2 linked regions of the Astyanax mexicanus genome follow. The protein of the gene in region 2 interacts with the protein of the main gene of each other region in a pairwise test. Links are inferred from orthologs where the notes say so. Each region holds a gene or a part of one and is shown on either strand. Other genes may lie near its edges.

Evidence for each region.
Region 1: the proteins of wdr4 (region 2) and rabggtb interact in binary tests that used the Homo sapiens proteins (3 or more experiments, as listed by UniProt). The two-hybrid records come from large-scale screens. The link is inferred for Astyanax mexicanus from reciprocal best matches to the Homo sapiens genes WDR4 and RABGGTB.

What each region holds. Positions count from the first base shown.
Region 1 is NC_064425.1:41,692,405-41,708,507, reverse strand, and holds the start of rabggtb (geranylgeranyl transferase type-2 subunit beta), read right to left. Parts: upstream 8,053-16,103; 5' UTR 7,990-8,052; coding exon 7,987-7,989; intron 6,734-7,986; coding exon 6,626-6,733; intron 5,508-6,625; coding exon 5,310-5,507; intron 5,126-5,309; coding exon 5,020-5,125; intron 4,916-5,019; coding exon 4,863-4,915; intron 3,253-4,862; coding exon 3,142-3,252; intron 2,269-3,141; coding exon 2,143-2,268; intron 1,146-2,142; coding exon 996-1,145; intron 1-995. Other genes in the region: acadm (medium-chain specific acyl-CoA dehydrogenase, mitochondrial), read right to left, coding at 12,738-12,809, 13,216-13,464, 14,127-14,222, 15,675-15,815. UniProt on the Homo sapiens protein: Catalyzes the transfer of a geranylgeranyl moiety from geranylgeranyl diphosphate to both cysteines of Rab proteins with the C-terminal sequence -XXCC, -XCXC and -CCXX, such as RAB1A, RAB3A, RAB5A and RAB7A.
Region 2 is NC_064418.1:42,011,110-42,027,259, forward strand, and holds wdr4 (tRNA (guanine-N(7)-)-methyltransferase non-catalytic subunit wdr4), read right to left. Parts: upstream 6,449-16,150; 5' UTR 6,430-6,448; coding exon 6,347-6,429; intron 4,798-6,346; coding exon 4,729-4,797; intron 4,255-4,728; coding exon 4,108-4,254; intron 4,003-4,107; coding exon 3,846-4,002; intron 3,378-3,845; coding exon 3,265-3,377; intron 3,147-3,264; coding exon 3,086-3,146; intron 2,922-3,085; coding exon 2,817-2,921; intron 2,029-2,816; coding exon 1,958-2,028; intron 1,771-1,957; coding exon 1,584-1,770; intron 1,491-1,583; coding exon 1,418-1,490; intron 1,172-1,417; coding exon 957-1,171; 3' UTR 759-956; downstream 1-758. Other genes in the region: si:ch211-140m22.7 (skin secretory protein xP2), read left to right, coding at 6,499-6,553, 8,310-8,377, 9,890-9,989, 11,531-12,868, 15,706-15,769, 15,899-16,023. UniProt on the Homo sapiens protein: Non-catalytic component of the METTL1-WDR4 methyltransferase complex required for the formation of N(7)-methylguanine in a subset of RNA species, such as tRNAs, mRNAs and microRNAs (miRNAs).

The sequences.
Region 1 (16,103 bases), on a different chromosome or scaffold from region 2:
AAAATATATATTTTTAAATATATACTGTAAAAACTAGCATCTTAACAAGAACAACAAGTGTGATTATTCGCAGTTAATCACAGAATATTGTTGTGATTAATCTGATTAATTGATTTAATCTGATTAATTATTTAATCAATTGACATCACTAATTTATTACTTTGTTAGAACATTACTTATTAGCTATAATCTACCAAACACAAGTTTTCTTCCTTTTTTGCTGTATTTATAGAATTTAATATGTAACATTTTAAGTATGTCTTTTATATCGCCTGTAAGTCATAAATTAATTAAAGTCTAAATGAATTATAATTAAAAATATAAATATAAATATAGAGAAATATAGTTTAAAAAACACCTTACAGTGTGCGACATCACACTAAAGAAAACTCTACATACTCTATATTCTATACATAAAGCAGCTGTGATATTCATTAAAACAAGCTTGGATCAGATCTGTCTCAGCTAATATTAAACAATAAATTACTTGGATTTGACTGAATGAAACTGGATCGGAAGATCCCAGTAGATATTACTCACACTGATTCCAGGGAGCTGAGAAATTCTCATATGCATTGTTTGTATATATTGGCTGATATTACTGCATTTCTCTGCTTTAGACTTGTACTTTCTCTCTCAATGACAATTTAAAGTTTAACCCAATCCAATCCAATTTAATCTACTCAAGTCTAATCCAATATATGGGTTTGATTTAAAGGGGTCTGGAGCAGCTGGAGGCTGTTCAGCAGTCTCTCTGTACGGGCAGGAATAAGAGCCTGAAGCTGCTGAAGTCCTTATAAATGAGCTGTTCTCATATCTGTGAGGGGTTTATTCATTCCAGTGTAATACCAGGCTCAAATACAGGGGGAGCTTATAGGGGCTTAATGAGATCAGCCCGAATGTACACAGAGCTGCAGAACGCACACCTTAGAGAAATGTGTGCTAGTACTAATATACACTAATATACACTAATATTACTGCTGTATAAAGCGCACCATGTCTCCGGGTCTGTCGGCGAACCCCCCCGTCTCCTCGTCCTGACAGGCCAGGATAAAGTTACGCAGCTTGGCTTTATCAATCCAGTGAATTCTGCCGATGATCTTCAGCGCTGCGAGAACCCACCATGAGTAACACACATCTGGCAGCTAAAAACACCAAAACAAAGCAATTTATATACATAATCTTTGTGACATAGCCATCTTAGCTGGCCATGCCAACTTTCATAAGTTAGCTTCTTCAGCATTTGTGTTAGAATTCCATCATTTTAAGCATACAGTACCAATGCAATACCTTGCAAACACCGTAAATTCAGTGTTTTTCATTATTTGTAAAATGTTCAGCACTGTAAATTAATACTAAAGTCATCTAAACTATAAAGAAAAACATCTAGAATTATTAAGTGTTAAACAAACCAGAATATGTTGCTTAAATGACAGTTTTGCACATCTCTGCTGCATTTTCCCAGTCAGCTTTATGAGGCAGAGTCACCTGGAATTCAGGCTTTCAGTTAACAGCTGTGCTGAACTCATCAAGAGTTAATTACTTGAATTTCTTGTCTCTTAATAAAGGGTTTGAGAGCATCAGTTAAAGTAAAGTAGTGAAGAGGTAGAGTTACAGGTATACAGTGAATAATAGTGAATATTTGAGTAATGTTCGAATCCAGGTTATGAGAAGCAACAACTACTCAACTACTATTTAAGTATCCTTAATTTAAGTAGTTTTGTGCAGTCACAAGACCATCAAAAACATCATAATGAAACTGGTTCTCATCAGGAACAGGAAAAGGAGAGAAAGAGTTTCCTCTGTTTTACAGAATAAGCACCACAGATAAGAGCATCTAAATGCTTCTTCACAGAGTATTTTTTTGGTTTGTTTAACACTTTTAAGTTACTACATGATTCCTTATGTGTTTCTTCATAGTCTGAATCACTTTACTATTTCATTCATTACTACGTGGGGAAAAAAATATTAAAACATTTAATAAAAAGAGTGTAAAAAATATGTATATCTTTTTCTCTCCAAAATTACTGAAAATGAAATATTTTCACACTGACGTCCCTTAAAAACTATCCTTTGTTTTTTTTCTCCCAATATGCAAATAGAGTATATAAATATGTAAATTCAAGACTGTGATGTGGAAACCTTCTCTGGTCTCCCGTTGAGGCCTCCAGACGGCAGCTGTCTCTCACAGAGCCACCAGCCCAGCAGATCTGCATTCACCTGATGGAGCTGACCGGTGATGGACAGGAAACCCGTACAACAGTAAATCTGCAGAAACAGAGAAAAATACAGTTTACAAAATTAACTCTCACATACAGATAAATAAAAAAAAAATCTATATAGTGTTGCTAGCATTATTCTCCATCAAAATCAGTAAATCTGTACTTGATTTGCATTTTGATCTTTAAGGGCATTTTTTTGTATAATTGTTATGTTTACAGTTATATTCTGTATTTTAGATAGATAGATACAAATACAAAACAGACACAAAATACAAATAAATAAATACAAATAAATAAATAAAAATACAAAATACTTTTAGTATTGTGATATGTTTTTTTGTTGCATTGCATAAATATTATAGTACATTATTACTTTATTACTTTTTTATTTCATACAAAATATTTTTTTATGTGATTAAAAAATAAATAATAATAATAATAATAATAATAATAATAATAATAATAATAATAATAATAATAATAATAATAAATACATTTATTTTGTTGCAGCAGACTATTATTGAAATTTATTCAAATATCTTTATACATTTTAGTATTGCGGTAGTTTTTTTTTTTTTTTTAATTCCACACACTTTATATTACATTATTCGTTTAACTTCTTTATTTTAAATAAAAAAAGATGTTATTATTATTATTTTTTTCTTCTTCTTATTATTATTATTATTTTGAACAATTATTATTTTATACAACTCAAGTCTTGTTAAGTTACTGTTGCAAAATAGACAAAAGTTTAAGACAGATTATTTGTTTCTACTGTACTTTTGAACTTTAACATGAATTTTGTTGCAGTAGTATGTTCTTGAAATTAATATATATGTTCCAGTGATTTGTCATATCACCAAGAATAACATTATTGTATAAAGGGTTTCTTATTTCAGTGTGTGTGTGTGTGTCTGACCTGTCCAGCGTGAGACTCAGAGCCGGGTCTACAGCCGAACCCCCCGTCAAAATTCATACAGGACAGAACAAACTCCACCGCCTTCTCCACATTTACCGCATCCAGCCTGCCCTGAAACACCCCAACACAATATACAATATATCAGTGTTTATCATCACCATATCTGATAGCATAGTATTTGACCTCAATTGTCGAAATTTCCTAGTTTAAAGTATAAAATTTTAACTAAAGTGCTAAAATATAATTGTCTATTGGGAGCGCAGTCAACTTAGATGTGACATCACTTCCAACTCAAACAGCCAACTCCTGAGGTAAACGGCAAATGGACCAATAGAAAGTTAAAACAGTTCTTTTTTCTCTTTATAAAGGTGAGATAAATTCGCTAGTTGCATGAGACGACGCTGCCTGTTTCCGGTCTACGACTGGTAGGCGGAGTCATTTCCGCTTTTCAGCGCCGGTCAGCAGACAGTATGGCTTTCTACACGCGATCTCTCCAGGACTTACCAAAAATAACTATAAATGATGTACAGCGCCCAGGAGTAAGAGAGAATATATATATATAAATATTATTTTTGATCTATTTTTAAGTTATTCCCTGTGTCTAGACCCTCTGTAAGTTATAAATATGTATAATGTATACTGGCATCGGGATATATATATAGTTGTTTACTATTGTATATCCTAAGTTTCAAACAGTTCAGTGTGTGATTAACCCAGAACCCATTATTTATAATATATTATATATATATTTTATATTTATATTTTGTATATATATATATTTTATATTTATATTATATATATATATATATATATATATATATATATATATATATATATATATATATTATTATTTATATATATATATATATATATTATATATATATATATATATATATATATATATATATATATTATTTATAAATAATTATGTATATATAGATATAGATAGAGAGAGAGAGATAGATAAGTTCTACCCTGTGTCTAGACCCTCTGTAAGTTATACTGGCATCGGGAGATATATAGTTGTTTACTATTGTATATCCTTAGTTTCAAACAGTTCAGTGTGTGATTAACCCAGAAGTTCTCTAAAATTGTTTGTTAATGTTTAATATGCATTTATATTACATTAGTATTCAAACCGTAAAATATTTGTGTTCCCTCATTATCCCAATAATATGTAAACAACGTTTGTTTTACCTGAATCAATTTTGTATTTTTTTTTTGTATTCAAAACTGGCTCTGGATTCTTATGGGTCAATTTATTTATTTTTATTGAATAAGCTTGTAAATATGCCTTAAACTTTTCATGTGACCAACAGTAATGAATTTTATAAAAGAAAAACTGGCCCATTGCCTTCGTTATTGGAAATAAAGGCATGAAATAGTATTGTTGTTGAATTTAATTTTTTTTTTTTTATTATTAAAATATAACAGTTTGGTATGTTTCCCAGTGTCTCCAAATTTTTATAGAGGATCCTTTAATTATAAAAATAACACAGTCAGTTTTTTTTGTTTTGTGTTTTTCGTTTCTCCTTAACTTTAAAAACACTCATGGTCGCTTTCACGCTGTACTCCTGCCGGCAGTTCTCCCCACAACAACTCCAACCGGAAACTAGTATACCTACCACTCACTACCCGGAAGTTAGGTGGCGCCATCTTGTGCACAGAGCCAATTGCACGACATCATTAAATACTGATGTTTCTGTAATAACTGATCTTACCAGTAGTGCCAGGGTAGCGACTGCACAGAAGGAAAACCTGGTATCTATTTCACCTACAGAAAAAAAAAAGACACACAAACAGTTAGACATACATACTTTTCATTTAATAACAAACAGTGTGAATATATATTTTATATATTTATTAGCTGAGAAATACCCCATTTATCTCCAGCAAAGGAACCGTCCTCCTGCTGAAGTCCTCGAACATAATCCACAACCTTATCCACATCGATCGCTTTAACATTATCATACAACGTCAGGATCTGAAAAATAAACATACAGGTCTATATACAGCTTCTACCACTCAGAAGTTCATCTGATATTTATGGCTGTGATAATAAACTATTCTCCCAAATCTCTGAACAAACAAATTATAAGCCAACACATTGTAACTGATCATTAGTGTTCTGGCTGTTAGACTGATCTGAGAGCTGTAGACTGTGTGACCTGCACGGCGCTGAGTGTGTACAGCAGGTGCGGGTCGTGGCCGATGCTGGCGCTGATCCCTCCGCAGTCATGCTGGCAGGATTTGATGAAGTCGACGATCTCCTCTCGGTTCATACGGTGGAGCTGACCCATCAGATCCATCACAGTCAGACCCCAGTAAATCCCACTCATCCTCAAATACTCCGACAGAGTGTATTCCTGCAGAGCAGAGGGGAACAACACTATCAGTCTATTAGAGGTTACCTTACATGAATTGTTAGGTACTTTAGCCTCCTACTGTAAGAACATAACATTTATGGAATTTGTTTAATAATTAGGTTTGACTGTGAGCTGTCTGAGATGAGAGCAAGAAAATATCTAAAAAAAAAACTAATAAAAACAACAAAAAAAAAACTTAGTGAAGTTTGGAGTTCAAGAAATGAACCGAGTCACTGATCTGTGTTTTAATTCAGTTGATCATTAAAAACATGATGTAAGAACATAATATTTATGGAATTTGTTTAATAATTAGGTTTGACTGTGTGCTGTCTGAGATGAGAGCAAGAAAATATCTAAAAAAAAAAACCTAATAAAAACAACAAAAAAAAACACTTAGTGAAGTTTGGAATTAAAGTTCAAGAAAAGAACCGAGTCACTGATCTGTGTTTTAATTCAGTTGATCATTTAAAAGCAGAGAAATCGGGTAATTAAGGCATTTAAAATATAATGTGATTTGTGTGTTGATTGGATGCTTTAAGGTGAAACAATCGATTAACAATTGCATTGATATCAGGTTGTGACGTTGTGTAAAAAAAAAACAGCTGAAGAAATGTAAAAAATGTTTATAGAAGATGCATTTTTTGGGGGCAAACATTAGAAAAAAAATTCCCAGCTTAATAACTCAAGAATGTCTCAACACACCAGCAAAAACCATATGTATGGCTAGAAAAAGGTAGAAACAAAAAGACAACATAGAGCTCAGAGGCTCAGACACTGGATTACACTTCAGAACACATTAAAACTGAGTAAATGAGTCACAGAAAATTACTCTGAACGAAACTTTAAAGACACATGCATTATTAAGTGTTTTTCACAATGGATCAATCACGGATTCTTAGAGAGTGAGGGCGCTGCAGTTTTTAGAAACTGTAGGATTTCTTTTTATCTCTTTCTAGCCATACATATGTTTTTTGCTGGCGTGTTGAGGCATTCTTGAGTTATTAAGCTGGGATTTTTTTTCTAACGTTTGCCTCCAAAAATGCCACTTCTATAAACATTTTATACATTTCATCAGATGTAAGCGTTCAGTTACATTACATCTTGCTGCAAAAACTTACGTAATCATCTTTTTTGGAGCCATAGGCAGCTATATAATCAGCATGCTTATCCAGAAAGAGAGTATTGGGGGCATCAGACTTGATGACCACGTCTTTAATCTGAGTCCCCTGTAAGACAAAAGATAAGACAAAAAAATGTATTTACATTCATACAGACAGAAAGACAGAAGAGATCATTATTGTCGAAGAACAAAGTACAACAAAATGAAGTGACAATCCCAAAGTAGAGTGCAAAAATGTGCCTGGCTATAAAAAAAAGTCACCACCTGCATTTAACTAAGTAAAAAAAGAGCCTCCCATTGGAGCATTTCTGAATACATGATTATGTAAGCAGTGACGCAATGAGTAGCTTCTCATTTGTTAAACAACCATGTGGAAAGACGCATCCTGTGGTTGTGGAAAGGATGTTAATCTTTCAGATGGGTAAAATTATTAACATGCATCAGGCAGAGAACACAGCTACGAAGGTTAAGAAGAGAGACGACTGAAGTGATGCAGCATCATGCATCAGGAATGAGTGCAATATATCATGCATCAGGAATGGCATAATGTTATCCAAAAGCAGTGTGTAAGACTGGTGAAGGAGAACATGCCACAATACAAGAAAACTGTGGTTAAAAAACAGGGATATTCCACCAAATACTGATTTCTTAACTCTTAAAACTTTATGAATATGAACTTGTTTTCTTTGCATTATTTGAGGTCTGAAAGCTCTGCATCTTTCTTGTTATTTCAGCCATTTCTCATTTTCTGCAAATAAATGCTCTAAATGATGATATTTTTATTTTGAATTTGGGAAATATTTTATCCGTAGTTTATCGAATAAAACAACAATGTTCATTTTACTCAAACGTAAACCTATAAATGGCAAAATCAGAATAACTGATTCAGGAACTGAAGTGGTCTCCTCCTTTTTTCTAGGGCTGTATATTAGTTTTCTGTCCAAAAACAATTACTCTTATTTACCTCATACTTCTAAACCTTTTAGTAACATCAACCTCATATTTCTACTCATAGAACTCTTTATTAGAAACCTCTACATTTCTTTAAACAATATATTTTAACGCTAGATATCGAGCTATTTTCAAGTTTTATTCATTTTTTCCATTCCACCTTAAATGCCGCAGAAGTTCACTTAGGGCTGCCAAAGCGTTACTACTATAACTGCAGTAGCATTTAAGGTGGAACGGAAAATTCAAACACGGCGCTGTCTGAATTTGTGTTGTTTTACTTACAGGATTAACTTAATGTACCAATATTAACACACCTAACACACTGATAAACACTGACAACTCAAACCTGACTAAAACGATCTTAATAACAGCTTACAAACGCATAATAATACACACAGAGTCACTCACCATCCTGCTCCACAGCTAATGCTAATGCTAAAGCTATGCCCACACTGGACAGACACGTCACTACAGAGGCTCTGATGGGTCATTTTCAAATTACACATTTTGCGATTCTCTAAATATACAGCTCTGAAAAAAATAGGTATATTTATAGGTATATGTTTGAGTAAATGAATACTGTTATTTTATTCTATAAACTAGGGACAACATTTCTTCCAAAGTCCAAACAAAAATATTTTTATTTAGAGCATTTATCCGCAGAAAATGAGAAATGGCTGAAATAACAAAAAAGATGCAGAGCTTTCAGACCTCAAATACTGCAAATAAAACAAGTTCATATTCATAAAGATTTAAGAGTTCAGAAATCAATATTTTTTTTAAATAACCCTGGTTTTTAATCACAATTTTCATGCATTTTGGCATGTTCTCCTTCACCAATCTTGCACGCTGCTTTTGGATAACTTCATGCCACTCCTGGTGCAAAGATTCAAGCAGTTCAGCTTGGTTTGATGGCTTGTGATCATCCATCTTCCTCCTGTTTATATTCCAGATGTTTTCAATTTGGTAAAGTAAAAAAAAAACTTTATTTTTAAGTGGTCTCATTTTTTTCTAGAGCTGTATATATTTTTTGTATTTTTTCCACTAAATATTATTTTTACTTTAGTGACTATATTAATGTGGCAAAAATATGTATGTATTACATATTATCTATTTCACATGCTTAAGAGATACATAAAGTACTAAAGACACAGAACACAGTAAAAGTTTGTGAATTGTTCATTAAGCTCCGTACTTACTCTGTAGTAGAAGTAACTCAATCTGTTACTATAACCTTCAACAAACATCTTATATTTGAAGGGTTTCTTCTCCCAACATCAAATTTAAGATCTCTCCACAAAGTGTTCAGTGGGATTTAGATTTGGACTCATTGCTGGCCACTTCAGAACTTGGCTGCGCTTTCTTTCCATCCATCTCTTGGTGCCTTTTGAAGTATGTTTTGGGTCATTGTCTTGCTGGAAGACCCATGACCAGTGTTGGGAAGGTTACTTTTAAAATGTAATCCCTTACAGATTACTGATTACATCACTCAAAATGTAATTTGTAACGTAATCAGTTACATTACTTCAAGTGAGTAACGTAATCTGATTACTTTGGATTACTTACAATATTGTCGTTTTTTTAAGCCTGAATGAATGTAGCAACCACATATTGCATATTATTCTTTTATTTTTCTTTCCAGTTAACAAATAGATAAACAAATAAAAAGCCTTTTCAATCACTCTATAAACATACTTATGAAACCATTTCATCAAACAATTTTATGAAACACTTCTATAAATTGATAATAAAACAATTTAAAACCAAACAATGTAACAACAACTGTAAGCTATCTATTTGCAGGTTTGCCACCAGTGTTAATTTTGACAACAAATTTTGATTTAGTCTTAGTCATAGTCTTGTGACGAAAATAGCATTTAGTTTTAGTCACAATTTAGTAATTTAGTCAACTTAGTTTTAGTCGACTTAATGTCATAATAATATAGTCGACTAAAATTACAGTAAATTTAGTCGACTAAAATGTAAAGGGTGTAAATGTAAATGCATTTTCATCAGTTCCCTTGAATTATTAACTCTACACTTATATGAAATGAAACGTTTAATAACCACTTGAGTAATATTGTTAATGTTTGAATGTGAAATATATTTATATATGATTTAATGTATATTATTATTATTATAGGTGTGTGACTATATATATTTTACATTTAAAATTTTGCTCTAGAAATCAGGTCATAAAACAACTGAATAGTTAAATTATAGTTTAAACAGAGCTGTAGATGCAAAAACAGCTTTTAAATGATCTAGTTTTATCTCCAGCACTAACCCAGCACACCTACTGGAGCTAAAGTCTATAAATGAGATCAAAAACACACCTTCACACACTGTCCTGTAGAGATGCTCTCAGGATGTACAGAGAGACTTCATGAGTTAAAGTGAGAAACTTATGAGAAAGTGCTGTAAGGAACTTTACACAGACTTTTGGGTTCATATATTCACTTATTTTATTGTTTTATTTTGGTTATATTATTGAGTTCCTTTCTGACCTGTTCCTGCTTTAACACTAGCTATATCTTTCCCACTGTGAGACTAAGCAGATGATCTGATCTTAATGAGTTAGGGTTCTGTATCAGTTCTGTGTTTTAGTGCACTGCCGAGTTAAACACATCAGCTCATGAAATAACATCAGCATTAAAACTCTGATCTCTGCATGGAGATCTGTGTGACTCTGGTCTGCAGAAGCTGAAAGATTAGTGGTGTTTTTACCGGAGATTGAGTCGCTCCACGCGGTTTACACGTTATCTTGTTTTTCGCGACGTCAAAGGAGAAATATATCGCCTCTCCCCTCTCTCTCCCTGCTGAACACTGTCGAGTTAACTTCCAGTCGAGCTCCGTAGCGACAGTTTGTAATTTTGTAACTGAGCGCGCGACGCTACTGAAGGAGAGGCGGGTACTGATTGGATGAGTACCCCGCTTATCCCGCCTCTCCACCTTCGCTAAAGTAGCAGTGATTGGATCTCTTCCTAACTGGTCCCTACCTTTCACAGAACTAAATCAGTTCTGATTGGATTTCGTCCCTGCCAAACATTTTCGTCTTGTTTTTATTCGTTGACCAAAATGTCAGTTAATTTCGTCTCGTTGTGTGTGCGGAGCCGCTGTCTGCCCCTCCTCCCTGTGTGTGTGTGTGTGTGTGTGCAGCGAGATGGGACGAGGGGCAGACAGTTCCCTTTCATATCAGAGCGATTTCACCGCAAAATGTTATTTGCGTTTTGTCAGTGTTGGAAGAGCAAAAATAGGAAAGTACCGCAATGTAATCCTTTAATTTTAGCAGAGTAACTGTAATCTGATTACCATTTATTGAAGCAGTAACTGTAACGGATTACAGTTACTTATAATTTGTAATCTGATTACGTAACGCCGTTACATGTAATCCGTTACTTCCCAACACTGAACATGACCTAGGATGCAAACCCAGCTTTCTGACACTGGGCTCAACATTGCCACCCTTCGGTAATCTTCAGACTTCATGGTGCCTGGCAAAAGTCAAGGCACCCAGTTCTTAAGGCAGCAAATCCATTTTTGGTAAACAGCAGAATGATGTGTTCACAAAAGACATTTTTTTAGAAAGGTTTTTGGCTTACTCATGTACATTTTGGCAAACTGTGTGTATGAAAACTTTTGGGGTTGCTAATTATTTTTGTGGAACTGCGAAGTGCAATGACCAAGGAATGTATGACTATCTATCCATTTCATAGACCTCAATCTAAAGAATTTTATTTTACACCAATCTGTCTAAACAGAGAGCAGTAGAAGGGTCTGTAGTTTTGAAATGATGTGTTCATTGAAGTCATATGCATATGACTTAAACTGAAGAATTTTGACAAATAATACTGAACTATTTTTCTAAAATGAAAAATAATGCAATGGAATTCTGTGTTTAAAAAGGGTACATACATTTGGTCACTTATTTTCACTTAAATAAACAACAAAATGTGTTTTGTTTAGTGCGCCTAAACATTTGCTTGCACTCATTTACTCAATCACACTTTTTCAGTGTTTGATATATTAGGCAGCAAGTGAACAGTCAGTTCTTGAAGTTGACTTGTTGAAACAGAAAAAATAGACAAGTATAAGAATTAGAGACATTTTAATAAGGACCAAATAAGGATGTTCTAGACAACGACTGGTTCAAAACATTTCCAGAACTTTAGACAATTCTTGTGGGGATATGCTAAAAAATGTAAAAAATAAGGGAGTGCTAATGTTATTGTAGATTAATCTGATTTATTCTATCAGAATTTAATGGTGAGTGGACCAATAGAAATATTCCAACATCACTGAATAAAATCTATTTAACTTGACTTTTACTGAAAAATAAGGTGTTTGCTTGTTTTGTTTCTGTAAAGTAAAAATTTTGGGTCATTGTCTTGCTGGAAGGCCTATGTCCTAGGACACAAAACCAGCTTTCCGACACTGCTCCTACAATGCCACCCAAAATCTTCCAGTATTCTACACACAGTCAAATTAGGCAAATCTTGTTTGAAAGTGTGTTGCAGCAACCTCCACCCTATTTGACTGTAGGTGCTCTCTTCTTTTCTTTGTAGTGTCACTGTGGCAGATTTGGAGAACTTAAATAAGAAGAAAAAAAAAATGAAGAAACAGTTTGACTGTATTTCTGACAGAATTGTTCATCTTTATTTATTTTTGGAAGACATACCATTTAAAAAAAACGCAAGTATTGTGTTCTTTATTATGAGTTCTATTTTGTTCAGTTTAATGCTTAACCAACAATTGTCCTACAGAATATACAAACATGAGTAATGTTAAAATGATTAAGGCAAAACGACATTGGCAACAATCCTGAGATCCATTCCTATTATTGTATAAACAGAATTCAGAGCCACGCAGGACAAAAAGACTCCACCCTAACGGACGGAAAGTTCACTGCAATTAGGATTACAATCCAGCTGCTCATCACATTCCTATAGACAGAACAGAACAATGTCCACAGCAAGACTATGGAAGTGTCTGTATAAACAATTAGAATAAGATATGGCTGTGGTGAAATATTGAACCGTGGCTCCTCTTAACTGCCTGAAAGTGATATATTATGATTACAACCATTTATTATATGAATCCTATTGAACTACACCTTTCGACTAAGGAGTGCTTCTCCCGGTGAAGGTGCTGAGATACGTTCACTGCTTATACTTTCCAAGATGCTCTCGAGAGATGATGAGTCTTTGGATTTGGGCCGTTCCTTCATAAATCTGAAAAAGAAAGGAAGCAGAAACAAATTATTCCTCAGAAATAAATAAATAAATAAATAAATAATAATAATAATAATAATAATAAAAAAAAAAAGATAGCCCCAGTTTTGCTGAAATGCCATTGCCACTGACAATTCTGGTGAACAATGCTGAGATGGGAATCAAAATATATCGCTGCACTGAAAATATGGACCCTTGTTGTTTTTAGTTTTTTTTACATAGTTTAAAAGCTGTTGTCTCTTTGTACACTTTGTTAATAATACTAAAGAAACTGACCAACAAAAAAGCTCAAAAAGTACTAAGTACAAACTATTAATTTACATTATCTTCAATTGAAAGATAAGAACATATTTGCCTTCTCCTGTAAAGTAAAAAAAAAGTATTAACTACTGATTCTTTTTCTAACCTGATAAATCTTTGCGTCTCTCATAAGCTTCTCCACGGGGTATTCACTGTTGAATCCGTTCCCACCGAAGATCTGGACGGCATCACTCGCGACCTGGTTGGCGATGTCTCCGGCGTAGGCTTTGGCGATGGAGGCGTAGTAAGTGTTCCTTCTGCCATCATCCACCTCCCAGGCAGCTCTCTGATAGGCCAGCCTGGCCAGCTCCACCTTCATGGCCATCTCTGCCAGCATGAAGGAAACGGCCTGGTGCTGGAGGAATAAAATAAAAGACAAACTGTAATGACGTTCATATGATCCACACGCTCATTCTGTCAGACTGTAATACAGTACAGGAAGTGTAGAGGGTGCTCTATACTCACACTTCATACACTGTTTCTTACAGAATGTAAAGCACTATAGAAAGTGTAGAGAACACTCTATAATGCTACATAACGTTTACATGATCCACATACTCATTGTGACAGAATGTAATACACTACAGAAAGTGTAAGGGCACTCTAAAATGCTCTATAATATTCATATGATGAGTGTAGGGGGCGCTCTATAATCATACAATCCACAGGCTCATTCTGACAGACTGTAATAAACAACAGGAAGTGTAGGGGGCGCTCTATAATGCTCTATAATGTTCATATGATTCACACTCTCCTTCTGACAGACTGTAATACACTACAGGAAGTGTAGGGGGAGCCCTATAATGCTCATTATTCACACACTTGTTCTAACAGACTGTAATACACTACAGGAAGTGCAGGGGGGACTACAGCAGTGTACAGTTAATTTTTTTTATGGCTCACCTCATAACTACTTTCTCAGGAGTGTCTAATTAACAAAAGTAACAAAAGACGTATAATTAAAAGAAATATTTCGGCTCCTTTGTTAATAATTAGAGCATTAGAGAAATCACCTACCTCAGCAATGAACCTGCCGAACGTCTTCCTCTCTAAGGCGTATTTGGTGGCCTCATCCAGCGCTCTCTGGGCCAGCCCTGTTGCACCCGCAGCAACCTGAAAGTGTGTATTTAAATGAATATATTAAAAGTATATTTGCCCCATACTAAAGCTACAAATGCACCCTGACACAATAACATTTTTGTTAATAATCTGTATGTAGGCCTATCACAATTATTACAGAAATTATTCAGCTTCATTACATGACCTCAATACTGCCTATAGTTTTTACATAGCAAAGACTGCTATAGGAACCAGACAGTATGTTAACTAGGGTTGCCAGTCATTCTGTAAAAGGGGCAAATTTTATTTAGCAATTAACACTAAATAGAACAATAATGATCAACCCCTTCCCCTGCCAAATCATAGTTCTTTATATCCCAATTATCTTTAATCATTAAGACTCTCGTCCTGCTGGAAAATGAAATGTGCATCTCCATAAAAGTTGTGCGTTTATATACATTGCATACATACATATATAGACAACTTCTATGGAGATGCAGATTTCATTTTCCAGCAGGACTTGGCACAGTGGCCAGTTGTCTTATATGACACCAACTGGTATTACATAATATTCTAATTTTCTGAGACTGATTTTTGGGCAGTCAAAAATAAAAAAAATAAATAAAAAAATTAAGGAGTCTCATATTTTTCCAAAGCTGTATGCATAGTTATTGCAACATATATATACTGCCATGAATTAAAACCATTATTAATCTGTGATAACAGAGGACACTGGCTGCACTGTAAATAAATCAGCTATTTATAGAACCTGATCTTCACAGTCTCATCCAATAACAGTGTCTAAATAACAGTGTCATAACTTTAACCTTTGACCCAATACTGTCCGGATACCATCCTGATCCATTATAGACAGACATTACCGGCATGCTCAGTAAAGCTCTGGAAAATATGACCCTGGTCTAGTCTACTAACTGCTGACTACATCTGGGCTTTGTGACTAAAAACTCCTTTCTCTTTGTGCTTAGGAGAAATGCAGAATTGCTGTTATATAATACCAAAAGCACAGCATGCTGTAAATTCTAATAGTAAAAATGTCACTATATTAGCAAGTATAACTTTATTATACTTTTAATCAATGAATATAAAACTGCACTGGATGTTAAGATGTTTGAGATTGTAAAATAAAATATTTCTACTACATAATTAAAAAACAATACTTATTGTAACTGTTATCCCTGCAGAAGTCAAATCATTTCCACAAACTGATCTCACACAGATACTAGGAAGTGAGATATTGCAATATTATATATTTTGTATATTTTACACAAGATATTAAACATGTTGATATTTAAGATACACTGCTCGTCTCTAATGCTGACTGTGCAGCTTTGCTGGTTTCACAGTAACTGCTGATCCTGGTCATTGTTTTACACAGTTCCAGTACAAAGGTCTTCTGCACTGCACAGCTGGACGTGGTACAGATGGTACACATGGTCCTCTGGCTGCTCTGACACTAGAGTGTAACTGATGGGAGGAGACTCTTACCGGAGGCCTGGTCTTGTCGAAAGCACCCATGGCGATCTTAAACCCCGCCCCCTCTCCAATCAGCACATTCTCTTTGGGGATTCTCACATCCTCGAAGGTGATGCCCCGGGTGTCGGAGCACCTCTGACCCATGTTCATTTCCTGTGGGCAGAGGGAGGAATATCAGAGGGTAATGCCATCTCAAACACCATCCAATCAGTGATCAAGAAAGAGAACAGGACCATAATTTATTCACACGGTTTCATTACTAGACAAAAAAAAAATAAAAAAAAAATCAAGAACTCAAGAAAACAAGTTAGCAGCTCCCTAAATAAAAGCACCTAAATTCTTCAGAGTATTCTGGTTTGTTTAACACTTTTTCCTATTGGTTTTTGCCAATTTAGCCAATTGTCCCACCCACTGATCACTGGTAATGCCACAACACCAGGA
Region 2 (16,150 bases):
ACCATGTTAAAACAAGCTATGTGGAACGAAACGCTAGCTAATATCGCCCTGACTTTCCAAAACAGTCAGAGTAACGTTACCTCAGTGTAGCGATGTCAGGCAACATTAGCTGCTAACCACATCTAGCACTAGCAGTTAGCTGCTGATGCTAATGCTGCTCCACCCAGCCTCAGTGGATATCTGGAAATCTAAGCCTACTGCAATAAACAAAAACGCTTTACTCACCTAAATTAAAAGTTTTTAGGAGAGAAATCTGTGTAGATTAACATCCAGTGCTCGTTTCAATTTAAAAGAAAATCTTTTTTTTTTTTAAAGAAAGGTTTTGTTTACTTAGCTTTACTGCCAAATTAGAAAGAAAACGTGGGAAAACGCTTGTTCTTTACTAGTGTTGCATAATATGCCTTATGTATGAAAATAGACCAACAAATAGTAATTTTTTGATAGTGCACCTTATAATCCGGTATAGTAATGGTCCACCACAGAACTGTAACTGAAGGTAATGGATGCATGTGCAAGTAGTACAGACTTCACGCTAATATTACTCAGGCTATGCAGCATAATGTTCTCAAGCTGTCTCATACAGCTCCACAGTTACACAGTGTTCTGGTCCAGAGTGGGAACGACAATCAATAGTGTCCCAATTACCTTCCCTATGTACCACCATCATGAATCTGTAGCTGTTACTGTAAAGGTAAAATAGTTAAATAATTCTGTTTAAAGAGATACAACTATAGAAACAAACAAAATGCACAATGAAATATTGCTTGAAACAAAAACATTTATTTTAAAAATCCATATCATATTTCTGCATTTGTAAAAATAATCCACATTTGAATGTCAATGCAGGGACGCAGAACTGAGTTGCACTTTTGTCAACCAAGCAACCTACTGCTGGAATGTCCACCATTAAATAAATTCTAAACACATCATTTTCAGTCTCTCCTGGGTTCTAAATCTCAGCTGCAGTTTGAAGGCACTGCTTCCCTCTTTCTCTCATTCTTGCTCTTTTTTGCTGCCCCGTTGGACTGAGAGCCATTTCCTCCTGTCCTCTTCTTGCCCTCTTTCTGATCCTGCTGCTGCAGTCTCTCCTGTTTCTTCTGCAAATATGAGGCCATGTTGTCAAAGTTCACCTTGTAGAGGTGCTGGAAGCGACTCTCTACCCCGACTGAGTCTGAGCAAGAATAAAACAAAGGAAGATAGCATTGTAGTAACAGATATGATTTGAAGTGGGAAGCATGAATTAATTATGTTTAAAGAATTATTCAATTATATAACAACTTCAGAAATTAAATGTATAATAATAAAATGAAAAAAAAAAAATATTTACACTATTAAACAAAATCTATACAAAGTTATTTTTCTACACTCATTTCTGATGTAGGTTCTAAAATGACAAACTTCTTAGCAGACACCTCACCTTTAAAGAAGTCCCACTGGGTGCTCAGTGCTTCTTCTACTCTCTGAAGATCTGCACTTTCTGAATCAATCTGCTTCGCACACACAAAGCAGCAATATGAGAACATTGTGGACAACTTCAGCAGCTGCTACTACAGTAAACTCAAGTGTGTGAAGAGTTAATATACCTTCCAGCAGTCCTGCGAGTATGTGTACAGGAGCACAGTTACATCCTTGTTCTGCAGCAAGACCCAAAGTCGACCTTCAGAGTCAAAGGCCATGTCCCAGGGAGCGTGAGGCAGAGTAAGCTTCTCTGTGGGGATCAAAAGCTCTTCTGAACCGTCCTTCACCTCAAACAGCTGAATAGAGGGAAATCTATAAAGATATAAAGATCAAAAAACACTGTCACAGTTAAATAATGTTCAGATAAAATTAAATAAAGTGATAAGATCGACATCACTAAAAAGCCTGGTAATGATCTACACTGATTTATACTTCCATCTGTCGGGTTTGTTCGGTTCTTTAATAAGCTTTAAAAGTAACATTGAAAAGTAACACACACCTCTCACACTGCACAGCCACATGACGTCCATTTGGTGAGCTGATGATTCGACTCACAGCAAACCTTTGAGGCTAAAAATGACCAAATACCAAAATTATATTTACTCAAAATCAAATGTTTTCTTACATACTTAGATATTCTGCTTACAATAAATTGTGCTTTCTTTCGATTTTTGTAGAATGCTTTTTGGCTATCAATTGAACCAAGGTGATGACCATCTGATGGCCTTCACTCTCCTAATGATGATACCCCAAGTGCCATCACTTTATTCCCCACATACCCCTCCCTGAACTCCACTCTTTCCTACTCCTGCACCCCTGCAGTATTCAAATCATTTTACAATGTATGTAAAGTATTATTCTTAATCAGTCAAACAGACCGAACTGTCGACCAACTAAGCTGTGCTCGTGTATGATTTTCTGCCTACATGTAAATAAAGTTGCAATAAGAACGCCCAGACTCCTGAATCTGACCTCTGATTCCTGAAGGCCAAATTTCTAAAAAACAGTCATACACAATACAAGTAGCAGAGAAATGCTTTGATGACAGTCCAATCTTAAATATAGAAATATGTTCAATAATATACAGAAAAAAATATATATATAGAGCATAGAATGCATAAAGTGTATGGTTCAAGAACAAAACACGCCGTTAATTTTCAGTACAGATGACTGTTGAGTGTGCATTTCCAGTACAGTATTGTACAAATATTTAACATATTTCTAAACACATGGAAACTAACAAGGAGCTGAATGCTGAAGATGGGACCATCATATCCACAAATAATACAAATGTTTCAGTTCCTGTTGTTCACAAGAAACAACAAGAACAGTAGAGTAACTAGTAGAAAAGTTGTTACCTTTTCAGCATCTGTTTCAGAGCTCTGAGAAAAGCCGAGCTGCTTCATGTTAATGCTCTGTAACCGCCGGCCAGTCTCGTAATGCCAAAGCTTTAATGTGCCATCCTGCAAACAAAACACTTAAGATTTACTATGAGAGTCACAAGTACTTACAATATCTAGTGATCATGGAATAGAGTAAATTAGGATTACTGCTTAAAAAAAGACAGCCTCTAACACTGAGTAAAACTATACTGAGCTGTAAATTCAAAAGCAAATCTGATTCTTACCCCTGAGCCAGACAAGAGCCATTCAGGATGCCCAGTTGGAACAAACAATGTGCTGACAAACCTGCCAAAAACATTTTTTAAGTACATTTATATGTAAACATATAAATAAAAAAAAATCAATCAATGCCTTAATGCTACTGCATGCTGCAGTTGCCTGTGTGTGTGTGCTTTGTGCTTACTCTGTGTGTCCCAAACAGAAAGCCTGAATATTGTAAGGAGATTGGCGAAGGCTCACTCTGATCTTCTCATCTCTGTCTGCTGTGATGATGTATTTATCGTCAGGAGACAGAGTCTGGAAATCAGCGAGTTATGTTAAATCAGGTAACACAGAAATAAAAAAACAAGTACATTGAAATAGAGACACATTCTATGTTAACATCAGGCACCAGCTATCAGCCCCCAAAAAAAAAATAAAATCAAGTCTATAATAAGTCTGTAATAAATGTAAATAACAATGTTAATAAGAAAAAAGTGTATTAAAAATGTATGAATGTATGTAGCTCTACTACAAGTTCAGCTGTCTGAAGTGCTGTTCAGAAGCTTTGTTTAATTCATGTGTTACTTATCTACGCATGGAAAATTTGTCTGACTGAAAGCTTGCAGATTAAAGTGATTTTTGCACCCATTTGACTGTGCAGATGCTTCTTCTGAATTTGGCCATTGGCTTTTCATTTAAATGAAAAACAAAATTGAAAGCATTTGTAAAGCCATTTGTATCAAACAAAACATTTTCCCGAAAAAAAAAATCTATATTGCTTACTATGGCCAGCAGCATAGAGAGATGCCCCAGCTTCAGCTCGCCTTGCTTCTGCGGCTCCAGAACAGAAAATGAATAGACATCACCAGACTTATCAGCCACAAACAGCTCATCCTCTGCCTGACTGAACATCAGCGAAGTACATCTTCTCACCACCCACCTAAAGAACAGATATAGCAACATTTACTCTCTTATCAAATCCTCAAACCTGCAGCATACAGTGTAATATGGTAAATGGCAGGGTGAGGGTGTGCAGTAAATATACCGTGTGCTGATGCACTGCCAGGATGGTTGCGTGCGGAACAGAATGAGCCGTTTGTTGTCGTCTGTCAGGGCAGCGTAGTTTCCTGATGTTGAGATGGTGCAGGCAAGGATCCGGTCACTTCCCTTTTCCTCAGAACCCCCACCATCACTGTGGGGAGAGAGGCACCAGTATGAGTGGAATTAATGTTTCTGCACTGATGCAAGTGGTTGGTACAGCGTAGTGAAAATACCACTGCCCTCAGTGAGGCTGGCATAAGTTAAACTGGTTTAACCTGAGTTAACCACAAGATAACCCCTGGCAAATCTGTATAGGTGTGGCCATTTTCAGTCCGCCCCTACAGGTAACACTTCATGATTAATTTACCCACTACTAATCTCATGACATCCGGCATGTCAATGTAATATAATACTGTATTTCTTTGTTTTAAGTGTTGTAATTGAGTGCCACTTTTATAATAAAACATTTCCCCCAAATATTACACATGTATATACTTACAGACATAGTATATAGTAAGTTATATTATACAATTATAGCTCTGTAGGATCAAAAGATTTAAACACATAAAAAACTGAAAACAAAATCAACTCTCGCAATTAGTGAAAATAGAAGTAGTAAGAAAACCTTTTATTTTCAGCCTCAGTTTCCGTTGGTTTCTGCTCTGCTTTGGAACAATCAAACACGAACGGTTCCCTGTTTCACAGAAAATATTGCCAGACTATGAACTCCACAGTCAAAATTACATTAGATTACATTACATTACATTACATTTGGTAGACGCTTTTGTCCAAAGCGACTTACAATAGTGAAGTACAAAAGTAATAGAAGTTAGAGGTAAAACATCTTTAGAAAGGGCCTAAAGGAGGTCAAAGGGAAACAATGGGATAGAGGAGGGAAGGAGGGGAAAAAGGAAATGAGGTTAGAAGTAGTTAGTGTGTTAGAGGTTTTAAGAGAGTAAGTGCTCTTTGAAGAGCTCTGTCTTCAGGAGTTTATTAAAGATAGTGAGAGATTCTCCTGATCTGGTAGTAGAAGGTAGTTTGTTCCACCATTATGGAACTCTGTATGAGAACAGTCTGGATTGCTTTGTGTGAATGTTTGTTTGGTAAAGCGAGGCGACGTTCATTGGAGGAGCGCAGCGGCCGGGAGGTATCGTAAGCCTTCAGGAGTGAATGCAGGTAGGAAGGAGCTGTTTTGTCATCACCTTGTAGGCAATTGTAAAATTATACAAAGCTCAGAAAGTCAAAGCTGATGGTTAAGGTATTAGAAAAGTTGTTCATCCCAGAGAAAACATACCCTATGCTGGAAAGCCAGATGGTTAACCCACTTTCACCAGTGCAGTCTATATAAAATGTTAAATTTGATTATGTTTTGACTATGATGCTTGTTGTACAGCTGGATAACAATGTTCATCCTGGTCAACCAGTCTTGCTGTCCAGCTTGATTAAATTAATTGTGCTCATAGACCAGCTAATATTACTCAAACTAAAACAAACAACAACAAAAAAAAACACACCCTATGATGGTCAAGAGATACACTGATGAGTCTGTTTTTTTCAGCAGGGTTAAGCTACTTGAATACAGAGCCAGTATCAGCATAATAATCAGAATGATAAAAGTATAAAGTATCAGGTTAAGAGTATCAGTATAAATATAGGTTTTATATATATATAGAATTAAAAAAATGCTTAACCCGTAACTTATCTAGATCCTGAATTTGTATAAAACAATAATAATGGAACATAATAAAAAATATATAAAAATAGAGTAACAACAAAAATCATGTTAAAAAAAAAACAAAATTGCAAACAAACAAACGTAAATCCAGTAAATGGCAAAAAAAAAGCCCACTAAACATCCGCTTTCAAGAATATTGCAAAATGACACGCCCCTAGAAAACACTCTATATGCTTTATACAAATACATTATATAACATACATAGGATATAACAACACATATATAGCACAGCCATTTCTTTAATTACTACATATATAGATTACTGTAACACAACACAGAGATACGGGCCTTCATATAATACACTACATCTTAATACAATCAAATTATTATTATTACAGAAGCCTCAATTAACACATCTGCTTAATCTAGCAGTTTGTGAGCAGTTTGGAGACACGAACTCAAATGCATGGTACAGCCCTACGAACAGTCCTAATATCTGAGCACCAGACCCACATCACCACGACGTTTATGAGCAAGAAAAGGTCTATGATGAGATAAAGCCGCTGACCTGCTTTGCCTGATGTTCACTGCTACTAAATACTGAGAACTGCATGTCAGCAGCCAGTCTCCAGCACAGCACACCGCTGCCATGATCACTGCACAACCACGTGGGAACCTCCGTCGCCTGTTTAATACATCAGCAGCAACAACAGAACCTGTATGGTGTGTCTCAAAAGGAACTCAGCTGCCTGCTCCCTTGGTGCCTACAGTCAGAGTAAATAATGTTTAGAATCTTAAACTTTGTGCTGTTAAAGTGTGTACTGAGCCTTTTATAGAAATGTTTTAAAGTAAACGGTCTAATTTCAAAGATCGATCAGGTAGCTACACCTCCCTTATTATGTAGCGCTTTAAAAATCCCTTGATTACTAACTAGGCCATATGTGCGTGTGGTTTAAGACGCGCCCGTAGTGCCGCTGCAGTTCAGTTTTTGAATGCTCTAAAATATTTTTTTTTGCTTAAGTAGAAAATATTATTAAAAGTATTAGAACGGTTAATAAGGTGACATCATGAAAAAAATATAGAAATGCGATTTATTAAAGCGTGGAGAAGGGGATCCTAATGCGTGATCACGGATGGTATTGTGATGGTATTTTATAAATATATGATAAAATGAGAAATAAATAGTTTAAGTGAGATTGAATTAATTAATTGTTTCGTTTAATCGTGTAATTGTGAAAGGGAAGCTTAAATAATTATATGTTATCTATTTTATCGTTAATTAATTGTGCATTTTAGATTTGATTATTTTTTTTACTTACTTTTAATTTCTTTTTTATTATTTCATGGGTGCTATGCTATTATTTTCATGGGTGCTATGAAATTATTGAATCTGTACAAAACCATCCATCAATGTCAGTGGGCAGTCCAAACACTGACTGATGGATGCAGGTTAATTAAAAAATATAAAACCAAAAATAAATACAAATAAAAATGATTACAAGTATTTAAGCGTCTTTTACGTTTCATTAATTAATATTATTTTAACTATTCATTTAAATGAATTATTTCCTATTGTAAATAGTTATTCTTTACTACTACACAAAAACCCTCCATATTATGTATTTTATTTATTTGTAATTTAATTATTTTTTTTGCTCATAATAATCGATTATATAAATTTTACAATTATGATCTACTGTTGGAATTTCGTAAAATATATTATTTGTACTCAATGTAAGACACAGTTCAATCAATTAATAAATGCATTAAAAATAAATAAATAAATAAAAAGGGTAATAATCGTAATAATCGTTAATAATGCATTTTTAAAATACAAAAAGTTGCAAGTATGCAGTATTTTCAGTTGGTTAGAATGAGTTAATTATGGGATTTTAGAGTTTTTATTCTGTAAAAGGGGAAACATGGGAACTGGGAGAGGGGGAGGAGAAGGTGAACTAACAGAAAGGGGGCGTTCACGCAGTGCAGAGGTATTTTCACACAAACGTGGAGAGTTCGGGTTTTAAATCCGTGATTGTGTAGTAGTTTGGGCGCTTTTAGACTTGCTTTGCTTTTATAAAGGCTTTGCTTTTGGGTTCATAGATCAGACAGTGTTAGTAATCTGCTGAATATCTTCTTTTTCTAACTTTTATAACTATCTTTATAAACTAACTCCAAGACAGCAGGCAAAACTAAACCTCGGTGCACACCAGGTAGGTTTACTAACGCTCTAAATAACTTTTTTTTTTTTTATTAAAGGATAAAATATTGTCTAGGGACAGTTAAAATAACTTTTTATGATAGCTATATTCAGTATATAACGTTGGTGTGTGCTAGGGTTGTTGTGTAACGTTATATTGTGTCAGATATGCTTGTTTATGGATATTATATATATATTATAAAGCTCAATAGGCATCTTAGTACAGTGAATTACATTTCTAGTAAAGATAAGAAAAGGTAAATGATCATGAACATTGTTAATAAAAATATAAAAATGGGCTTTTCTCATTACTACTGTGCCAATGTTTCCACAGGGAGGGATTTGTGGAGCTCAAAGATGGCGGCCTCCTTGCTGAGAATAGGTCGGCTCGGCTCTCTGAAGGTAAAAACGGTATTTTTTGGCAGTTTTGAGGGTCTCGATGTGTTTACTCACATTAGTAACGTGTGTACACTTTTTTTAACGAGCTTTTGAAGTTGTGACAATCGATACAACCGCTGTAATTTCTCGAGTCCGGGCAAGGACAGTGTGTTCCAGCTGCTGACTGTTAGTGTTAACTAACCGCTAAGCTGTATAAGCTATATGATCCAGTGCCAGGCAGACAGTGGACGCAAACATGCCACTACACAAACAGCAGTTCTGTGTATTTGGTTACTGAATTTACACGTTGGTTAATCGCTGTCAAATAACAAATTGCTCATTAATCTGATCTGACGGTAGTTTCATGGTGTTGTTTAGGGGCTCAAAGCTCCACAGACCCAAATTTCGCTGCTGAACTGTTCATTGTTTATCCCCTGTGTAACTTAGTATCCACATATCCACACAGTAGTATCCAATATAGCAATGTGGCAAGTCTTTTTAGACTAATGCCACTAATTATGCAAGCTGTAGTCTTTTACTCGCAACTTGTGCTGGACAGTAAATGGATATTTTATCGTATTGTGATCATTTTTTATTGAATCGACGGTATGCATATTGAGGATATAATCACTGCCTAAATAACTCTGACTGAACTGTACAATAAACTGTAAATAAATTACAGAGTGTAAAATATAATATAAATTAGGGGTGGGCGATATTGCCGTGAAATAACAAAAAAATAATTTCAAAAATATGCTAATGCAACAAAATTTAATGGTTGGTTATATTATTGCATAGGATTTGGTGCACCTTTAATTGAGGTTTTCAACAGACTGTAACAGAAGTTATTGATCCAACTTGTCCTTATACAAAACTTATAATGCGCTATGTATATTTATAGTACATATATAGTACTTATATACACTTCATATATCCAGGATTGAAGTTAAATAAATGATCCTGGTCAGATATAATACATTTTTACAATATGATTTAATGAGATGATAATTTCAAAATGGAGATTATTTTAGGGTATTTTGTCCATAACAATATTAATAAAATTGGCAGTATTATTGTTTGTGACACAATATGGTACCAGCTCTAATATAAACCTCTGTACCTTGCACCTCGCCCTGATGCCTATATTTGGCAAATATTCAAACCGATACTGTTTTGTACTGTTTTATACTGTTCATATCAATATCGGAATTGAATCATATTGACCGAAAGTATTACATATAATGGTATATATTTTGGCCGTATCATCCAGCCATATGTGTAGCTGTTAATTGTGTACTGTTAGCAGTCATTTATTAATACTTTCACTAGTTCACAATATCTAAATTATGTTTGTACTGGACGATAATTCATTTTTTCTTTTTTTTTCAGTTGATATATTATATCAACTTGATATATTTTTTTTATATTAGTTGATAAGTGAAACAAACACTGTAGTAAATTAGATAAAAATGCAGAACTTTTGTTTGATTTGGTACAGTGTTCTTTAACCTTTTCCCTTTTGTTTTTGTACTATAGGCTCTGCAGGTGGAAAGCTGGGGTGCACTAACAAGAGCTCCAGCAGTTGCTTTTAGTTCAAAATCTGGAGACAGCAAGAAGTCCAAAAAGTCAAACAAAGGTAGAAACCCATAACACAATGTTTCATTTGTTGTTATTTGTATTTATTTTAAGTTGTATTATGTGTTAGTCATGGCTCAAAGTTGGGTACCAGCAACTTTATTTGCTTGTCAAATAACCTGCAATTTTTTTAGTACACAAGACTGGAAAAGTGTCAAAGGTTGGAGTATTTATGGACCTATATGCTGTACAATGCCAAAGATAGTTGTGGAATGTCCCCCACTGAATAGGGGTATGAATACCATACCATGTTAACTTGGTGATCCCAGCTGCTGCCAGTGTGATTTTAAAATACATTACGAAGATACTGGGATTTCTTTAAGGATTGCTTGTCTGTTTTACAGCAGTAAAAAGTACTGGTAATTGCATTGTTTGAGGTAGATGTGTTGTAGAATTTGCTACTTGATCAATAAAGACATATAACTATCAGGGTAATGTCTAAAGACTCCAAACAGGATTTAAACTGCAGCCATTTCTCCTAATCTTTTGACAAACCACCAGAATGACCAAGAAAGATTTTAATAAGTCACTTTAAGGTTACTGGTCAGGAAATAAATGAATTGTGTGCTGGTACCACATTTAGATATTTATGCGGTGTGTTTTCTCCTTTCTTTCATTTAGTTCAGGAATGTTCTCTAGGTTCCAGTGTGCTAATGACTAACATGTTTTACCAGTACAGGTGCACAAGACTTTCTACATTCCAGAATTTTGACTTCTCTCATTTATAATGTTAATTTTTTCCTTTTCTATAGAGTTTACAAAAAATATGGGTTCTAATTGACATCTTTTTTGGAAAGTACAATGGTAAATGGCAAGTATTTTGGCCAACTATTGTTTGTATTTATTCATATTATTTAATTTTTTTAATGAGGGGTATATCTTGAAACAAGCTTGGCACTTTTTGGCTAACAACAATATTTGGTTGCATATGCATAAGCTGAGCATTACAAGCTGTACAGGGCTAGATAGTAACACTAGTGCTTAGTTGCAGTAGTGTTTTTAATATGTTTTATTTTATTATTATTTGTTTAGTATTTATTTAATTATGCACCTCCATGCATCTCCACTTTCAATAATACAGAAAAAATACATTGGGGAGCAAACAAATAAATATAATGTACTTATTTTGACAGGCCTATTCCTTCTTTTATTCTATTCTTTTTTTAATACACTTTTTGTTTTGCTAGAAAAAACATAAGATATTGAAATCAATCTCACATCAGGCTAGGTATAGTTAAATTAAGCCACTGGACATTGATAGCCCAGAGCTGACCCTTTAAATTAGCTTACTTTTTCATTAGATTAGTCATACTCATATCTGTGTAGTGGTCAGTGCCAGCAGTGCCAAAAACTGGATTAGTGTTTCATAATATACCCCTTATTTGGTTCTGTACGTCAGTGCATATAAATTTAGTGTTTACTGTTGGTACTAAGTTACTTGTCTAGTTTTTTTCAGCGTTTGAAGTGGGTCAGATAACGCAAGATTGCCTGAAATAAATATGAATGTCTTTATATGTTTACCCTTCTTTTATTACGTCCCAGAAAAGGCCACGGCAAAAACGTACTTCGATATAGAAAAGCTCGTTCAACACAAATCCTATGTGGAATTCCCTCAGAAGAAGGTTGCAGCATCAGCTGCAGCTGCCACAGCTGCACAAGCTGCACCTCCTGCACCTGCAGCCCCTTCTATGCCTGAGGCTGTAGTTCCTGAGCCTGCTCCTGTTGTAGACCCAGCACCTGTTGCAGAAGTTGCTGCTGTTGCAGCTGAAACCGCACCTGTTGTTGAAGTTGCAGCCGCTGCCCCTGTGGCTGAAGCTATCCCTGTTGCAGCCGAAGCAACAGCCGCTGCAAGCGAAGCTGCGCCGGTTGCGGAAGCTGTAGCTGCAGAAGAGTCTGTTGCAGCTGCACCGAAGCCTGAGGTGATTGCTTCTACTACTGACACTGTTGTCCCGGAAGCCCCAGTGGCAGCACCTGCAGCTGCACCAGAACCTATTGTGGAAGCGGCAACTCTTGCACCAGAACCTGCACCAGAACCAGCAGCTGCTGCACCAGAACCTATTGTAGAAGCAGCACCTCCTGCACCAGAGCCTGCACCAGAACCAGCAGCTGCTGCACCAGAACCTATTGTAGAAGCAGCACCTCCTGCACCAGAACCTGCGACAAAACCAGCAGCTGCTGCACCAGAACCTATTGTAGAAGCAGCACCTCCTGCACCAGAACCTGCGACAGAACCAGCAGCTGCTGCACCAGAACCTATTGTAGAAGCAGCACCTCCTGCCCCAGAGACTGTGACAGAACCAGCAGCTGTTGCACCAGAACCTATTGTAGAAGCAGCACCTCCTGCCCCAGAGCCTCCTGTGGAAGCAGCAGAGCCTGTACCAGCCCCTGAAGCAGCTGCACCAGAGCCTATTGTGGAAGTAGAACCTCCTGCACCAGAGCCTGTGACTGAACCAGCAGCTGCTGCACCAGAGCCTACTGTGGAAGCACCTGTGGAAGCAGCACCACCTGCACCAGAGCCTCCTGTGGAAGCAGCACCAGAACCTGCCCCCGAAGCAGCTGCACCAGCCCCTGCAGAAGTTGCCTCTGAAGTTGTAGCAGAAGCTCCACCTGCCATAGAGGCTGAGGCGGCTCCAGTGGCTGATGCAGTAGCTGAGGCAGTCATAGAAGCTGCTGCTGAAGTAGTAACTGAAGCTGTCGTTGAAGCTGTCCCCGCTGTGGCAGAGGTTGTAGAGGTTGTAGCTGAAGCTGTGGCTGAAGCTGCTGTAGAAGCTGCTGCTGAAGCTGCGTCGGAAGGGGCCCCTGCAGAGGAGCTGTTAGATGCCGCAGCCGCGATTACAGATGCCGCCGAAGCTCCCATTGAAGTTGTGGAAGCGCCTGAGGGTACAAAACCCCCTTAACCCCCCCTTTCTGTCTACCTTTCAGATTGTCTAAGAATTAGACATACTTGTTTCAGTTTTTATAACTTTTTTTTAAGTTGTAATCTAACCGTAAATTGTAAGGCTATTGGTTTACATAAAGCTTGTTGTAACGTTAAAACATAACATTCTTTTATAAAAACTAGTGCCACTATGATCCAGCATCACTGCAGCCTTGTAGACTCAAGCCACTCAAACTGGGCTGTGTTCATAATCTTAAGTCGTGCCATAGACAGCAGCAGCTTGTTTGTCCACAAGGTTCACAGGTCTAACCCACTGACTGCATATAGTCCATGGAGTCCAGTGCAGAAGAGATCAGAGATGGAGCCAGACTGGTCTAATCATTAGTTATACCAAAAGAACAGTGCATGTTTCCTCTGGATGCCTAATAATTGTAATGTTTCAACAGTTTATCACGAAACTGTTTACATTTGCATAAAATTTTAGTATGAGAGTTTATCTCTGTTTGTTGTTGAAACAAACAGTAGCTACTACAGTCCAGTTTAACCCATGGGCTGCTGCTAGCGAGTCAAATATCACTAGTGATGATTTAAAGAAGAAAAATATGTTTTTAGATCCAGTCCAGATCTGGGGAAAAAAACTGCAATGAGCTTTTTACCGTGTCTGTTAATTCAACCTGCAGCAGAACACCACATGATCCATTATGATTAACTAGCTGGTTATCTGATAGCTTAATTACAACTACCTTAGCTACTCAATGTAATGCAGATGGTCCATTTCAGCCATAGCCATAAATCTCCTTGTTCCTGAAAATCACTTGTTTTTTTGGAATTAGACAGTGGAGATGTAAAAACATTAGCGGATTGGCGGAGAAAAGTGCGCCATTAATTAAAATTTATAGAAGTGTGTGGGGCTACATATCATACGGATTCCTGACCTCTGAACTATGGGTCTTTTCCAGGATTGGCTTCTGTCTGTGTCCAGGCTTAGGTCATGAACATAGCCCAGCCGATCACCTCATGTTCTCTTCCTGCATTTTCCCATCATGCTTTTACATTTATTTTCCTGCATTATTTGCATTTGCTTGTGGCTTTCATCTTTCCACCTCCACCACATTATGTATATGTGCTTGCTTTCACTGCATTATTCATTGACTTGTATCACATCTATGATTTGCATTCGCCTGCTTTTGCTTTATCTTCTCTGATTTGCAAAACTCCTTATCTACAGCTCTTTTCTTTGTTGTCCCACCTTTCTCTGTTTTTCTTTCTGTATTTTTATATGTTGTTCTGGTGCTCTTCTTCTGTGCTGTCAACACCTATGCAAACACTTTTTTAAACTTAAATTCCTTCCCAGAGTTCTTATACATGCATTTCATTTTGCTCATAAATGTGCATTATATTTAGGGGTGGCACAAAACCACTTTTCATGTACGATAATGATATAAGATTGCAGCAATTTTGCGATAAACCAATTCAATACCATCTTTTTTAGTCTCTTAATTGTTAGACCCCTAAGACAGCTGGAAATCATAAGCTACTCAAATATGTCTTAATTTGAAATTGAGACAGAATTTAGATGTTACATGTATTAATATATGTTCATTTTCAGTGTGATGCATATGTGTATCCTGTTTGTAAGTTAAACTGATCTTGAGAAGACCAATACACTGTAAAGTAGTCGTAAACTATACAGTCACTGGTACAAGACCAGAGGTCTTTAAATCTGTACATTGGAATTTCTCCAGTCCTGTATCTTGTAATTCTTGGTTGGTGTGACACTACAATCATTTACACTTACTATCCTAAAATCCAGAAGTTATATTAGGACTTATTTTCATTCCTCTTTTGATATCTGATCCAGTGATTTTGATCAATATTGGGCAGATACAGAATACTGAGAGTTGGATTGATGCACCCCTAATTATAATTCTTTTTCTGTACTTGTAATGCTAAAAGCTAAGTTTCCTTTTTAATGTTAATGCTAAAGTTTAACCATGTAAAAATGTTGAATTTTCTTTCCTCATTAAAGCTAATGTTAAGGTTACAATTTTCCAGACACTGTTTTATATTGTCAACACTTTTTAATATTTTTTTTTTTAGTTTAATATATTTTTTAATTTGATGCGACAGTATGGGTATAACACGAAAGTGTTTTTATGATTATTATTTGTTTTAATGAATTTGACCTCACATTCCTCCTTTCTTCCTCCTGTGTTCACTCGGTCACAAAAACACTCCTCTCCTCTTGTCTTTTCCGTCACTGTTCTTTCCTGGGAGTCGCATGATAACAGTAACCCGTAATTTTGCTTCTTTTCCTCTGTATGGTGGTGTATGTGTGAAAGATGTATATGAAACCGTCGACTGTTCCTCCCCCACTTTCCCAAGGTGCTGAACCAGTACACTCAGTGAGTTTGGGTTTGCACTCTGGTTGCTGTGTGTGGAATCCAGGCTCTGTTAAGTTTATTAAATTAAGCAACCAACATGTGCATCACTGTGATGAATAAAACATGGTTGGTTGTTTCTGTAGATGTAGGTGACTCTTCCAGGTACTCACAGTCTTAAATGGCCATGGTTCCCCAAAAGCTTCATCAAATTGAAAATTGTAAAATGTGTGTGCAGCATTTCACCCATGTTCTTTAAGATTTTTTTAAAACTCTGAAGCATTTGGGGAATTTGACTTTGGTCTTCAGTCCGTCCTTCAGCCCCGCAGGCCTGTAACAGCTTTCCTGTATCTACTGCTCCGTCACAGCAGATACATGTTTTGAGCATGGTTTCAGAGTGATTTTCAGACATGTTTATGTAAGAATGATAAGTAATTGGTTCTTTTTATGACTGTCAGCTGGATTGGACCCCATTCAGAGACTCTTCCTGGATTCAATTCGTGACTACTCCACCCAGAGCAAGTACGTCTGTCTTTCTCATTTCTTTCATGCATGGGGTGATATTTTTGACTTTCAAAAATGTTTTAGTTTTACTTGTTAATATTCTTTGAGTCATTTGAGTGTCTCAAATCTTTCCTCCTTTGTTATCAGATCTTCTGGTGGACTAGTTGATGCTGGTCCTGAGTACCAGAAGGCCCTGGCTGAAGAAATTGCCAAGCTGCAGAGGTTATACGGTGGTGGTGACCTGAATTCCTTCCCAGAGTTCAAATTCCCTGGTATGTTAATCACTGCACAGATACTTCTAGTCTAGTCTTCTAGTTGTATACGTTGTATAGGTTTGTGTTTATTTAAATGCATTTTGTAAGTTTACAGTTACTATAGACTTTCTGCTGCTGCAGTTCA